3 linked regions of the Callithrix jacchus genome follow. The protein of the gene in region 1 purifies or fractionates together with the protein of each later gene. This does not show direct contact. Links are inferred from orthologs where the notes say so. Each region holds a gene or a part of one and is shown on either strand. Other genes may lie near its edges.

Region 1 (3,651 bases):
CGCGGCTGACCCAGGAGCGGGGCCGGGCCCAAGCTGATCTTGCCCTGGAGAAGGCGGCCAAAGCAGAGCTGGAGATGCGGCTGCAGAACGCCCTCAATGAGCAGCGTGTGGAGTTTGCTACCCTGCAAGAGGCACTGGCCCATGCCCTGACGGAAAAGGAAGGCAAGGACCAGGAGTTGGCCAAGCTTCGTGGCCTGGAGGCAGCCCAGATGAAAGAGCTGGAGGAGCTTCGGCAAACCATGAAGCAACTGAAGGAACAGCTGGCTAAGAAAGAAAAGGAGCACACATCTGGTTCGGGAGTCCAGTCTGAGGCTGCTGGCAGGACAGAGCCAACAGGCCCCAAGCTGGAGGCGCTGCGAGCAGAGGTGATTAAGCTGGAGGAGCAGTGCCAGCAGCAGCAGAAACAGGTCGACAGCCTGGAATGCAGCCTCAAGGTTGAGCGGGCCTCCCGGGCTGAGTGTGACAATGCTCTGGAGACTCTGCAGGGCCAGTTAGAGGAGAAGGCCAAGGAGCTGGGACACAGTCAGAGCGCCTTAGCCTCGGCCCAGAGAGAACTGGCTGCCCTCCACACCAAGGCACAAGACCACAGCAAGGCTGAGGATGAGTGGAAGGTCCAGGTGGCCCGGGGCCGGCAGGAGGCTGAGAGGAAAAATAGCCTCATCAGCAGCTTGGAGGAGGAGGTGTCCATCCTGAATCGCCAGGTCCTGGAGAAAGAAGGGGAGAGCAAGGAGTTGAAGCGGCTGGTGATGGCCGAGTCAGAGAAGAGCAAGAAGCTGGAGGAGAGGCTGCACCTGCTCCAGGCAGAGACAGCTAGCAACAGTGCCAGAGCTGCAGAACGCAGCTCTGCCCTGCGGGAGGAGGTGCGGAGCCTCCGGGAGGAGGCCGAGAAACAGCGGGTGGCTTCAGAGAACCTGCGGCAGGAGCTGACCTCACAAGCTGAGCGTGCAGAGGAGCTGGGCCAAGAATTGAAGGCGTGGCAGGAGAAGTTCTTCCAGAAAGAACAGGCCCTCTCCGCCCTGCAGCTCGAGCACACCAGCACACAGGCCCTGGTGAGTGAGCTGCTGCCTGCTAAGCACCTCTGCCAGCAGCTCCAGGCCGAGCAGGCTGCTGCTGAGAAGCGCCACCGCGAGGAGCTGGAGCAGAGCAAGCAGGCAGCTGGGGGGCTGCGGGCAGAACTGCTGCGGGCCCAGCGGGAGCTTGGGGAGCTGATTCCTCTTCGACAGAAGGTGGCAGAGCAGGAGCGAACAGCTCAGCAGCTGCGGGCAGAGAAGGCCAGCTATGCAGAACAGCTGAGCATGCTGAAGAAAGCACATGGCCTGCTGGCAGAGGAGAACCGAGGGCTGGGTGAGCGGGCCAACCTTGGCCGGCAATTTTTGGAAGTGGAGCTGGACCAGGCCCGGGAGAAGTATGTCCAAGAGTTGGCAGCCGTGCGTGCTGATGCTGAGACCCGTCTGGCTGAGGTGCAGCGGGAAGCACAGAGCACTGCGCGGGAGCTGGAGGTGATGACTGCCAAGTATGAGGGTGCCAAGGTCAAGGTCCTGGAGGAGAGGCAGCGGTTCCAGGAAGAGAGGCAGAAACTCACTGCCCAGGTAAGGTACTCAGCCCAACCACTGCCCCAAAGATCAGGAGCTGAGAGTGCGGGGACATCCATCCTCTGTGTTCCAGGGCCTCTGGCTCCTACACTGGAGTGTCTTGCTTTTCCTCATTGACTGGGTGGCAGAAAAGGAGAGGTGGCTGGTGGAGTTCAAGTCTGTTGCCCCTGTCATCCTCAAGAAAATATCAGTGGCCTCCCCTCCCCTGAAGGCTCTGTCACTAGAGAGTCAAGTTGAGATTACCACCAGCCCGTTCCAGAGGCACACTTGCACTGGATGCCTCAGGAGCTGCCAGGGACTAGAATAAGCCTAACTGGCATTTTTAAACGTACTGTCAATCTAGCTCCTTGGGGGAGAGTATCAGGGCCTCAGTGAGGTGAGCCTGGCAGCAGGGCTGGTGCCTGTTTGGCCCCATCTCACTCTGTCTCCGTTGCTCCTCCCCCATGTACAGGTGGAGCAGCTAGAGATATTTCAGAGAGAGCAAACTAAGCAGGTAATGCCTGGGGTCCTCGCTAAATGCTGGCTGCTTAAACGGTGACCAGTCTCAGTGCATGAGCCCGGCTGCAGCTTGCCTCCACCAGCTCCTGTTGTGAACTGTTTGTGAAGGGGGCAGGGTCAAGCCATGGAATCCAGGCCCAGGCTGCCCAGGAGTGCGGTGTTCTGGGCTCTCTCTCGGGCCTCATCCCACCCGTCCCAGGTCGGCCTCTCCACCCTTCTGCACCTTCTCTCATCTGCCTGTCAGGGACAAGGGGTGGCACTGGCTTCATCTTTCCCACACCTGAACCAATGACGGACACAGTCCTTGGGATTCCCAAACTTCCCAAGTCCTGTGACCAGTTAAGAATACTCCACTAAGAGGAACAGCAGAATTACCTGTGGGCCTTGTTTAACCTGGTACCCTTTTGCCCAGAGTATGGCTTTATGGAAGCCTTGAAGGTGATAAGCAAGGCAGCCCCCACGGGTTAGGATTATAGGCTCAAGACACTTGCCCATCACTTTCTGGGGCTCTAACTCTGAGCACAGCATAGAGATGTCTGGAGCAGGAAGGGCCTACACCAGATGGGGACGGGGAAGTGGGAGTCACATGGTCTGGCTGCCTCTTTCTCATGGGGATCTCTGTGTTGCCTGAGACATCGAGGCTGTTGAGCTGGCGTTAGTGAGAGCACCCTTTCTCCATCATTCTCCTACCCAGCCACCCCAGGACTGCTGAAAAATTGGGCACTCCTCTTCCTCTAAGGAGCCTGAGATAATGGGGGACAATCAAAGTGAACAGCAAACAGTTGGCAATGGAGCCCTTGCCTCTCCCCTGTGCTGCCCAGTCATGCTTGAACTCCCAGAATGCTTAGAGCAGCCAGGGATGCGTGGGGCTATATTCTCCCTCTTCCCCTACCTCCCTGTGCTCTTCCTCTGTGGGAGTGGGGTGGGCTTTGGAGTACGTGTGCTGCCCCTGCTCTTGTCTTCCAGCAATCTGTTCCCCCAATGCTAACCACAGCAGCCACGCTGCTAGCACCAGCCCTAACGGCCTGTGGATGTTGGAAAGAGGTCTGAGCATCTGTGGGCTTGGGCTTTGGCAGTTTCTGGGAGGGAAGTATGGGAATTGATTATGTCTGCTAGAATTACAGACTAGAATCTGGGAAGGTTGCCACTGTGGAGTGGTGGCAGCAGCAGGGTGGTGGTGGGGGTGACACGGGTCGGGCAGGCCTCTGTCTCTGCAGGCTAAGGGTAGAGACGAATATGGACAGGTGGCCCTAGCAACATCTATGTTAGGTCGCCTCATTCAGGCCCTGCCAACCAGCCTGGGCAGCAGGCTGTTCCCTAATAGAGGCCAGAAAAAGGGCCTGAGTTTCTTCTAGGAACACTAAGGATCCTGGTCTGGGAAACCCCTGAGTCTCCTGTCCTCCTCTTCCCTCCCCAGGTGGAAGAACTGAGTAAGAAACTGGCTGACTCTGACCAAGCCAGCAAGGTGCAGCAGCAGAAGCTGAAGGTGGGACAGCTAGGGGAATGGGTCTGGCCTCTGGACGGGGGAGGGAAGCTCATCTCTAAGCCCTTGGGCTGTGGT
Region 2 (3,651 bases), on another chromosome or scaffold:
CTTGAACTCTTGACCTTGTGATCTGCCTACCTCGGCTTCCCAAAGTGCTGGGATTACAGGTGTGAGCCACCGTACCCAGTCATACTTTACTTTTTTTAAATGCAAAAATAGTACATAAAAAATAGGGAATGTGTATGATTTAAAAGGTAAACTATAATGTTTGGAAGGGAATGCAGTGCAACATTTAAGTTTCCTTCCTATTTTAGACCTTAGTTTTCCAGGTCTTTTCCCTACAAGTAGTAGTTTTATATGTATTCCTCCATAGGTAACCTCAGCATGTGCAAATTTATATGTTTATGTAACCTTTTTGTAAACATGTACTGGACTTTGTTTTTGCTTTTTCTTTTTTTTTTGGAGACAGTCTTGCTCTTGTCGCCCAGGCTGGAGTGCAATGGCACAATCTCAGCTCACTGCAACCTTTGCCTCCCTGGTTCAAGGGATTCTCCTGCCTCAGCCTTCCAAGTAGCTGGGATTACAGGTACCCGCCACCACGCCCAGCTAATTTTTGCATTTTTAGTAATGACAGGGTTTCGCCATGTTGGCCAGGCTGGTCTCAAACTCCTGACCTCATGATCCACCTGCCTTGGCTTCTCAAAGTGCTGGGATTACAGGTGTGAGCCACTGTGCCCGCTTTTTTTTTTTTTTTTAATGTAATTTTGCATTTTTGGGGTGAGGGGGCAGGAGATGAAGTGTTATTCTGTTGCCAGACTGGTGTGCAATGGTGCGATCTTGGCTCACTGTAACCTCCACCTCCTGGGTTCAAGTGATTCTCTTGCCTCAGCCTCCCGAGTAGATGGGACTACAGGTGCGTGCCACCACACCCAGCTAAGTTTTGTATTTTTAGTAGAGACAAGGTTTTACCATGCTGGCCAGAATGGTCTCAATCTTTTGACCTTGTGATCTGCCTGCCTCGGCCTCCCAAAGTGCTGGGATTTCAGGCATGAGCCACCTCGCCCATCCTGTTTTTGCTTTTTATAACCTAGGGTTCCTTTCAGCAGTACATAAAGATCTATATCATTGTTTTTATGGTTGCATATTATTCTATTAGATATGTATACTATAATTTATCTAACATCCCTCACCTCCCTATGATGAACATTTAGGTTTAAGTTTCTTCCATACTTCTTATTAAGATAATTGTGGTCATGTATATATAGCTATGCAGTGTTTAACTGTATCTGTGGGACACATTCCTAGAAGTTACCTCTTTAATATTAGTAAATATATTTTATTGTTTTGCGAGTATAACAGGAATTTTTCCCTACTCCTTTAGAAAGAAGCCTAAGAAGAGAGAAAATGGGATTGGATGTAGAAGGTCAATGCGATTACTAAAAGCTGATCCTTCAGGAGTTTTATTACCAGCAACTCCAGTACCACCGGCATTAGTAGCAGATGAAACTGTAAGAAAATGTGCAAATACAGTATATTACTTAATAAAATACTGAAAAATTTGAAGTGTTGAAAGTAGACCAAAAGTTCATTAGATTATGTTTAATTTTATATTTCATTTTTGAATTTTTTTTTTTGAGACGGAATCTTGCTCTGTTGCCCGGGCTGGAGTACAGTAGCATGGAACCCCCTCCTCTCAGGTTCAAGTGATTCTCCTGCCTCAGCCTCCCGAGTATGTGGGATTACAGGTGCATGCCATTATACCTGGCTGATTTTTTATATGTTTGATAGAGACGGAGTTTCACTATGCTGACCACATTGGTCTTGTACTCCTGACCTCAATTTATCCACCTGCCTTGGCGTCCCAAAGTGCTGGTATTACAGGTGTGAGCCACTGCGCCTGACTTGTTACGGATTAATGAGTAAGATTTCAAAGTCATAAAGACTGGATTGGATTCTGTATTTCTGCAGGGCTTACCAGCTGTAGGATTGTGGGTGAGTTAATTAACCTTTCTGATCATTTCCCCATTTAAAAAATGTCAGCAATAATAGAACTCTCAGTAAATATGTACAATTTTATGTCAGTTAAAAAAAAAAAAAGAAACCTCCGCTAGGCGTGGTGGTTCATGCCTATAATCCCAGCACTTTGGGAGGCCGAGGTTGTCAGATCATGAGGTCAGGAGTTTGAGACCAGCCTGTCTGGTATGATGACACCTGTCTCTACTGAAAAATACAAAAATATTAGCTGGGTGTGGTGGCACACACCTGTAGTCCCAGCTACTTGGGTGGCTGAGGCAGGAGAATCAATTGAACCTGGGAAGTGGAGATTGCAATGAGCCAAGAACATGCCACTGCATTCCATCTTGGTTAACAGAGTAAGACCCTGTCTCAAAATAAAAAGAAACCTCTAAAGAGCTATTGTGAGCATAAATGAAATCATATCTGTAAAGTTTCTCACATTGTATTAAGGTCTTAGTAATCAATAAACTAGTTATTAATGTTAATTTTAATGAGTAGCATTTTATTTAGCAAACTTATTGTCTAAAATTTTTTTTTTATTCAAGAACACCTATTTTTTAATATTTTATATCTAAGCATTTAATTGTAAATAGGAAAGTGGCACTAATTAGGCTGGTGCTTTCGGAGCAAATTGCAAATCTAGGTGTTATGGGAAGCAGCATAGAAGAATAGCTTTCACATTTTTTTGAAGCCTCAGCCCACAATAAATATATTTATGGCCAGGTATAGTGGCTCATGCCTGTAATCCTAGCACTTTGGGAGGCTGAGGCAGGACAATCACTTGAGCCCAGGAGTTTGAGACCAGCCTAGCCAACATAAAGAGACCCTGTCCTTACAAAAAATACAAAAATTAGCTGGGTGTAGTGGCATGTGCCTATAGTCCCAGATCCTCAGGAGGCTGAGGTGAGAGCATCATGTTGTTTAGGATGGTCTCAAACTCCTGGCCTCAAGAGATTTGCCTACCTTGGCCTCTGAAAGTGCTGGGATTACAGGCATGAGCCACCACACCTGGCTGGTATTTCTATTTTATTCTCATTCACTGAAACAAATTGCTAGTTGCGACATATTAACATGATTTCTCACCCATTTATGTGTTACAAACTGTGTTTAAAAAAATACTATCCCCCCTCCCAAAAGAAAAAAATATTATCCCCTCCCACAAGGTAGGAGCTCCCTCCCAGATTTCCCCTCTGGAATCCCCTTCCACACTTTTCATGGAAGCCTTTCTCTACTCCTTTCCTTCTCTTCTTTCTACCTAAATAAAATCACCTTTCTGCAACAACAACAACAACAACAACAAAATACTAATGTGGTATACTCAGTATAATACTGAGTAATGAGTTAAGATAATCTGAATCAATTCTCAGCTTCTTTAGTTATTGGCTCTGTGGCTTTGGGCAAGTTAACTTCCCTAAGTTTGAATTCGGTGTCTTTAAAATGTGATACCTCATTCACTATGTTGTTGAGAGGATTTAATGAGATAATACATGTTATTATTACTTTATAGGGTACCTGACATTCATTTATGGAACAATTATTTTGAATGTCTATGATATGCCACCATTAATTGCTGATGTAGAAAGTGAAGTTGTAGAAAAACAGACAAATACCCTTGTCCTCCTGTGTTTACATTCTAGGGCAGGGAGACCAACAAAAAACTTTTTATTTTTTATAACAGCCTTTGTTACCTCCTGGGCCTTTAGAAATGACTTCTGAAAATCAAGATGACAACAATGAAGGATT
Region 3 (3,651 bases), on another chromosome or scaffold:
AAATTATTTTTACTATTGATTATAGCAGTAGTTCATTTGTTTGCTCTTTTGGAAAGCCTTTGCTGTTTAAGATGATTGCCCTCTGGTGGTCTGTGTACCTTCTTCAGAATATGAAAACTTGTATGTCTGCAATAATAAAGTATATTATGCAGGAAATGAGATGAGTATTTAACCTCAAAAAATCAAATGGCTGACAAATCATCATCTGAAATGTACATGCTGAAAAATATGAAAGTGTGTTCCCCCAATCTGTGGTCTTAGGCATGATATAGAGAAACATTAGCATTTAAACTGAAAATCCATAATGGAATACACAAATAAAATCAGCAATCTCTGATACCAAGTCATCAACTACCTAAGAAATATATATATTTCCTGACCAGATATTAGGAGAAAAATGTCATTTCTAAGAATACTGTAGACTATATCTGTAAACATTTTGTTCATTTCTGTAACTTCCAGTTGAAGTCATTGTGTCATTGAGAAACCATGAAAAGTTTAAAAGTGCAAAATTGATTTCTGGAAGAAATCAAAAAAACCCTTTTTGTGTTTAGTTTTTAGTTGTATCATAAGATACACACTTAAGACATTTTACTGCATACATAATATGGTTATTTATACCTGCAGCATTTTAAAGGCACATTTTTTTAAAATTAGTGAATGTGTATAGCATGAATTATGCATATAGCAATTGATCTAGTTAGTAAATTTTTAAAATTCTGGTGGCATTATGATTTTATAAGTTATTTACAGGGCTTCTGTTATTCATAATTTTAAACTTTACTCTTCAATGTATTTTTTTTAATTTAGTTTGAACAATTTGAAAGCACCATTGGGTTTAAGCTGCCAAACCATCGAGCGGCCAAGCGTTTATGGAAAGTTTGTGTTGAGCATCATACATTTTTCAGGTAGGAAGAGATTATTTTGATTTTTCCCTAAGGAATAATTATAATCACTTATACTGAAAAAGATTATCAGGAAGAGAAATAAGGAATTTTATCCTTACTATTCCTTCAAGTTCATTCTCACCATATTTCTTGATAAGAAATCCTAACAGAATTAGAAAAAGACTAAATTTGAAGGATTTTCCTTAATTTGTCAAGTACTTACATGTCCCACCTCCCCCACTTCTTATCTTTAGTGTGTTTACATTGTTTTTAGAGTGTCCACTTCAAATAGCCAATCCATTTCTATTTCAATTCCTTACAATTTCAGTGATTTCTCAATACCCTGTCTCTCTTTACTTACCTACACATAGTGTGAGACCCATCAAATTAGACATCCAATAGCAAATTATCACTCTTCTTCACTAATATCGCCTACTTAGTTGCTGTTTGGTCTTATAGAACCATAGACTGTCCACTTTGCATGGAATGTTAAAAGTTCCTCTAGTTTAGTACAACCCTAATTTTTATATATCCTCTCTACAACATCCCTAGTTGATGTATATCATGTGCATTTTTTTAATGAAATCATATTTATTTAACTGCAAGTTGTGTGTTAAACCTTAAGCACACAAAACACATGAACTCGCAGAGTATAAAGTTTAAAAAGCATTCTCTTTATTGGACTTAGCAGTCTTTCTGCTCTTTTTCTGTATTCTCTCTAGACTGTTGTTACCAGAAGCACCTCCCAAGAAATTCCTAACCTTGGGTTCCAAGTTTCGTTATAGTGGCAGGACACAAGCACAAACGAGAAGAGCCAGTGCGTTGATAGATCGCCCAGCGCCTTACTTTGAGCGCTCGTCCAGCAAACGTTATACCATGTCTCGCAGCTTGGATGGAGGTAGGCATCACTTACTGGCCCTTAATAACCCTAGCAGCTACCCCCAAAAGAGTACGACACTATCATGAGCTTTCAGTAAGCATAGATCCTCCTGGATATTGTACATGGAAAAGCAGTTGTTGCTCATTGGCTGAATGGCAGATATTTAAGACTAATATAATAGTCACATAGTCTGTGATTTGATTTCCTTGCTGACAGATCTTAAAGGATTAGTAGGCTTAAGACTATTTGTTTCATGAATCTGTAAGTTAAATTTATTTGTCTCTAAAAAATTTTATGAATAAAATGTGACCTTTATCAATCAGTTGATAATAGCTGGTAGAAAGGATGGCATGCAAATGACAGAGCAAAGGGCTGTAAGTTAAATTCTCCTGGTTGTGCTAATTACCACTCCAGATGGGCTGGGAGAGCAGTGCTATGTGGGGGTTCTGTACTGCCAAGTCAAATTAGTCAAATGGAGAGATGATCACTCAAACAACCTTTGTATGGGATAACGCAACAGTGAATTTTTAGTAGCGTTTTGTTTTATCAAACAGTTTCTTGATTGCTCTCTGGAGTAATATGAAGGCACGCTTTCTGCAGCAAGGCGTGCCTGCTGTGGCAATACTTGGGGACTATGTCTGGGTCTCTGTCTTCTCATTTAGAGCACCTGGAGATTCACTGTTTTTAATAGAAGATCTTAACCTGTGCAAATAAAAAGAATTAGAAGTTTGTGGTGTGCATGTATGGTTTATATAATAAGGAAAAACATAAATAAAAATAAACAAAAGTTACAAGTGCCTAGGACCATCTCCCTCCCTACCTTTTTTGCCACTGTTCCCGATAGTCTCAGCTCTGCCTTCCCCATTTCACTATCCAGGTGATTGATGGGAAGAGGTGCTCCTTAAATCTCCCAACTAAAACAACCATCTTTTTCTAATGGAATACTTTATGAACAGTTTACAGAAGAAATCAAAATAGCATTATCAGTACTACGTTATGTATGCTACTGGTGAGGTGGGAACTGTACTCATGCGGCATTGGTAAATCCAGACTCAAGTCCAGGTTCTGCCGCCCTCTGTCTCTGTGATGGTTGGCAAATGATTTCAACTCTCCAGGTCTGTTTTAGTCATCTGTGTAATAAGAATAAGGCCTCCTTTGACAGGGCTATTGTGAAAAGCAAGATATATGTGAAAGCGCTCTTGTTACATAGGCAATTATCTCAGTAATCCTATTGATAATTACTCTTTTTTCACAGTTTTAAATATTTCAGTAGCTTTTGGGATACAAGTGGTTGTTGGCTACATGGATGAATTGTATAGTGGTGAAGTCTGAGATTTTACTGCACCTGTCACCTGAGTAGTGTACATTGTACCCAATATGTAGTTTTTTTTTAATCCCTCACCCGTCTCCCACTCTCTGCCTACTGAGTCTCCAGTGTCCATTATATTTCTCTACGTACCTTTGCATACCCATAGCTTAGCTCCCACTTACAAATGAGAACATATGGTATTTGACTTTTCATTCCTGAATTACTTCATGCAGAATAATGACCTTCTGCTCCATGCAAGTCACTGCAAAATACATAATTTCATTCATTTTTATGACTAAGTAGTATTCCATGCTGTACATATTTTCCACATTTTATACTGATAATTATTCTTACAGGCTTTTGTGAGCTAGCCTAGGAAGTTATTACCGTTGTGTGTCTTCTGAGAGTTTCTGGAATACCAAACTTAGAGCCAGCCCTTTTAAGTAAAATAGTTATCAGGACTGTTTCGAGTTGAATTAAGATGTTGAAATATCCCTGTTAACATTGAAGCTTTTCTTTCTGGTTTGTCCTATTGACTCTTCTTTCTCCTTTAGAGCGTCTCTATTACCTATTTC

What was found.
Region 2: the proteins of NUMA1 (region 1) and WDR76 purify together in Homo sapiens (affinity purification with mass spectrometry; 3 studies listed by BioGRID and IntAct, with this or other methods). This does not show direct contact. The link is inferred for Callithrix jacchus from reciprocal best matches to the Homo sapiens genes NUMA1 and WDR76.
Region 3: the proteins of NUMA1 (region 1) and EPB41L3 purify together in Homo sapiens (affinity purification with mass spectrometry; 3 studies listed by BioGRID and IntAct, with this or other methods). This does not show direct contact. The link is inferred for Callithrix jacchus from reciprocal best matches to the Homo sapiens genes NUMA1 and EPB41L3.

What each region holds. Positions count from the first base shown.
Region 1 is NC_133511.1:68,932,990-68,936,640, forward strand, and holds part of NUMA1 (nuclear mitotic apparatus protein 1), read left to right. Parts: coding exon 1-1,589; intron 1,590-2,043; coding exon 2,044-2,085; intron 2,086-3,056; coding exon 3,057-3,134; intron 3,135-3,507; coding exon 3,508-3,576; intron 3,577-3,651. UniProt on the Homo sapiens protein: Microtubule (MT)-binding protein that plays a role in the formation and maintenance of the spindle poles and the alignement and the segregation of chromosomes during mitotic cell division.
Region 2 is NC_133509.1:31,503,047-31,506,697, forward strand, and holds part of WDR76 (WD repeat-containing protein 76), read left to right. Parts: intron 1-1,273; coding exon 1,274-1,400; intron 1,401-3,586; coding exon 3,587-3,651. UniProt on the Homo sapiens protein: Specifically binds 5-hydroxymethylcytosine (5hmC), suggesting that it acts as a specific reader of 5hmC.
Region 3 is NC_133514.1:57,792,619-57,796,269, forward strand, and holds part of EPB41L3 (band 4.1-like protein 3), read left to right. Parts: intron 1-810; coding exon 811-908; intron 909-1,609; coding exon 1,610-1,785; intron 1,786-3,651. UniProt on the Homo sapiens protein: Tumor suppressor that inhibits cell proliferation and promotes apoptosis. Modulates the activity of protein arginine N-methyltransferases, including PRMT3 and PRMT5.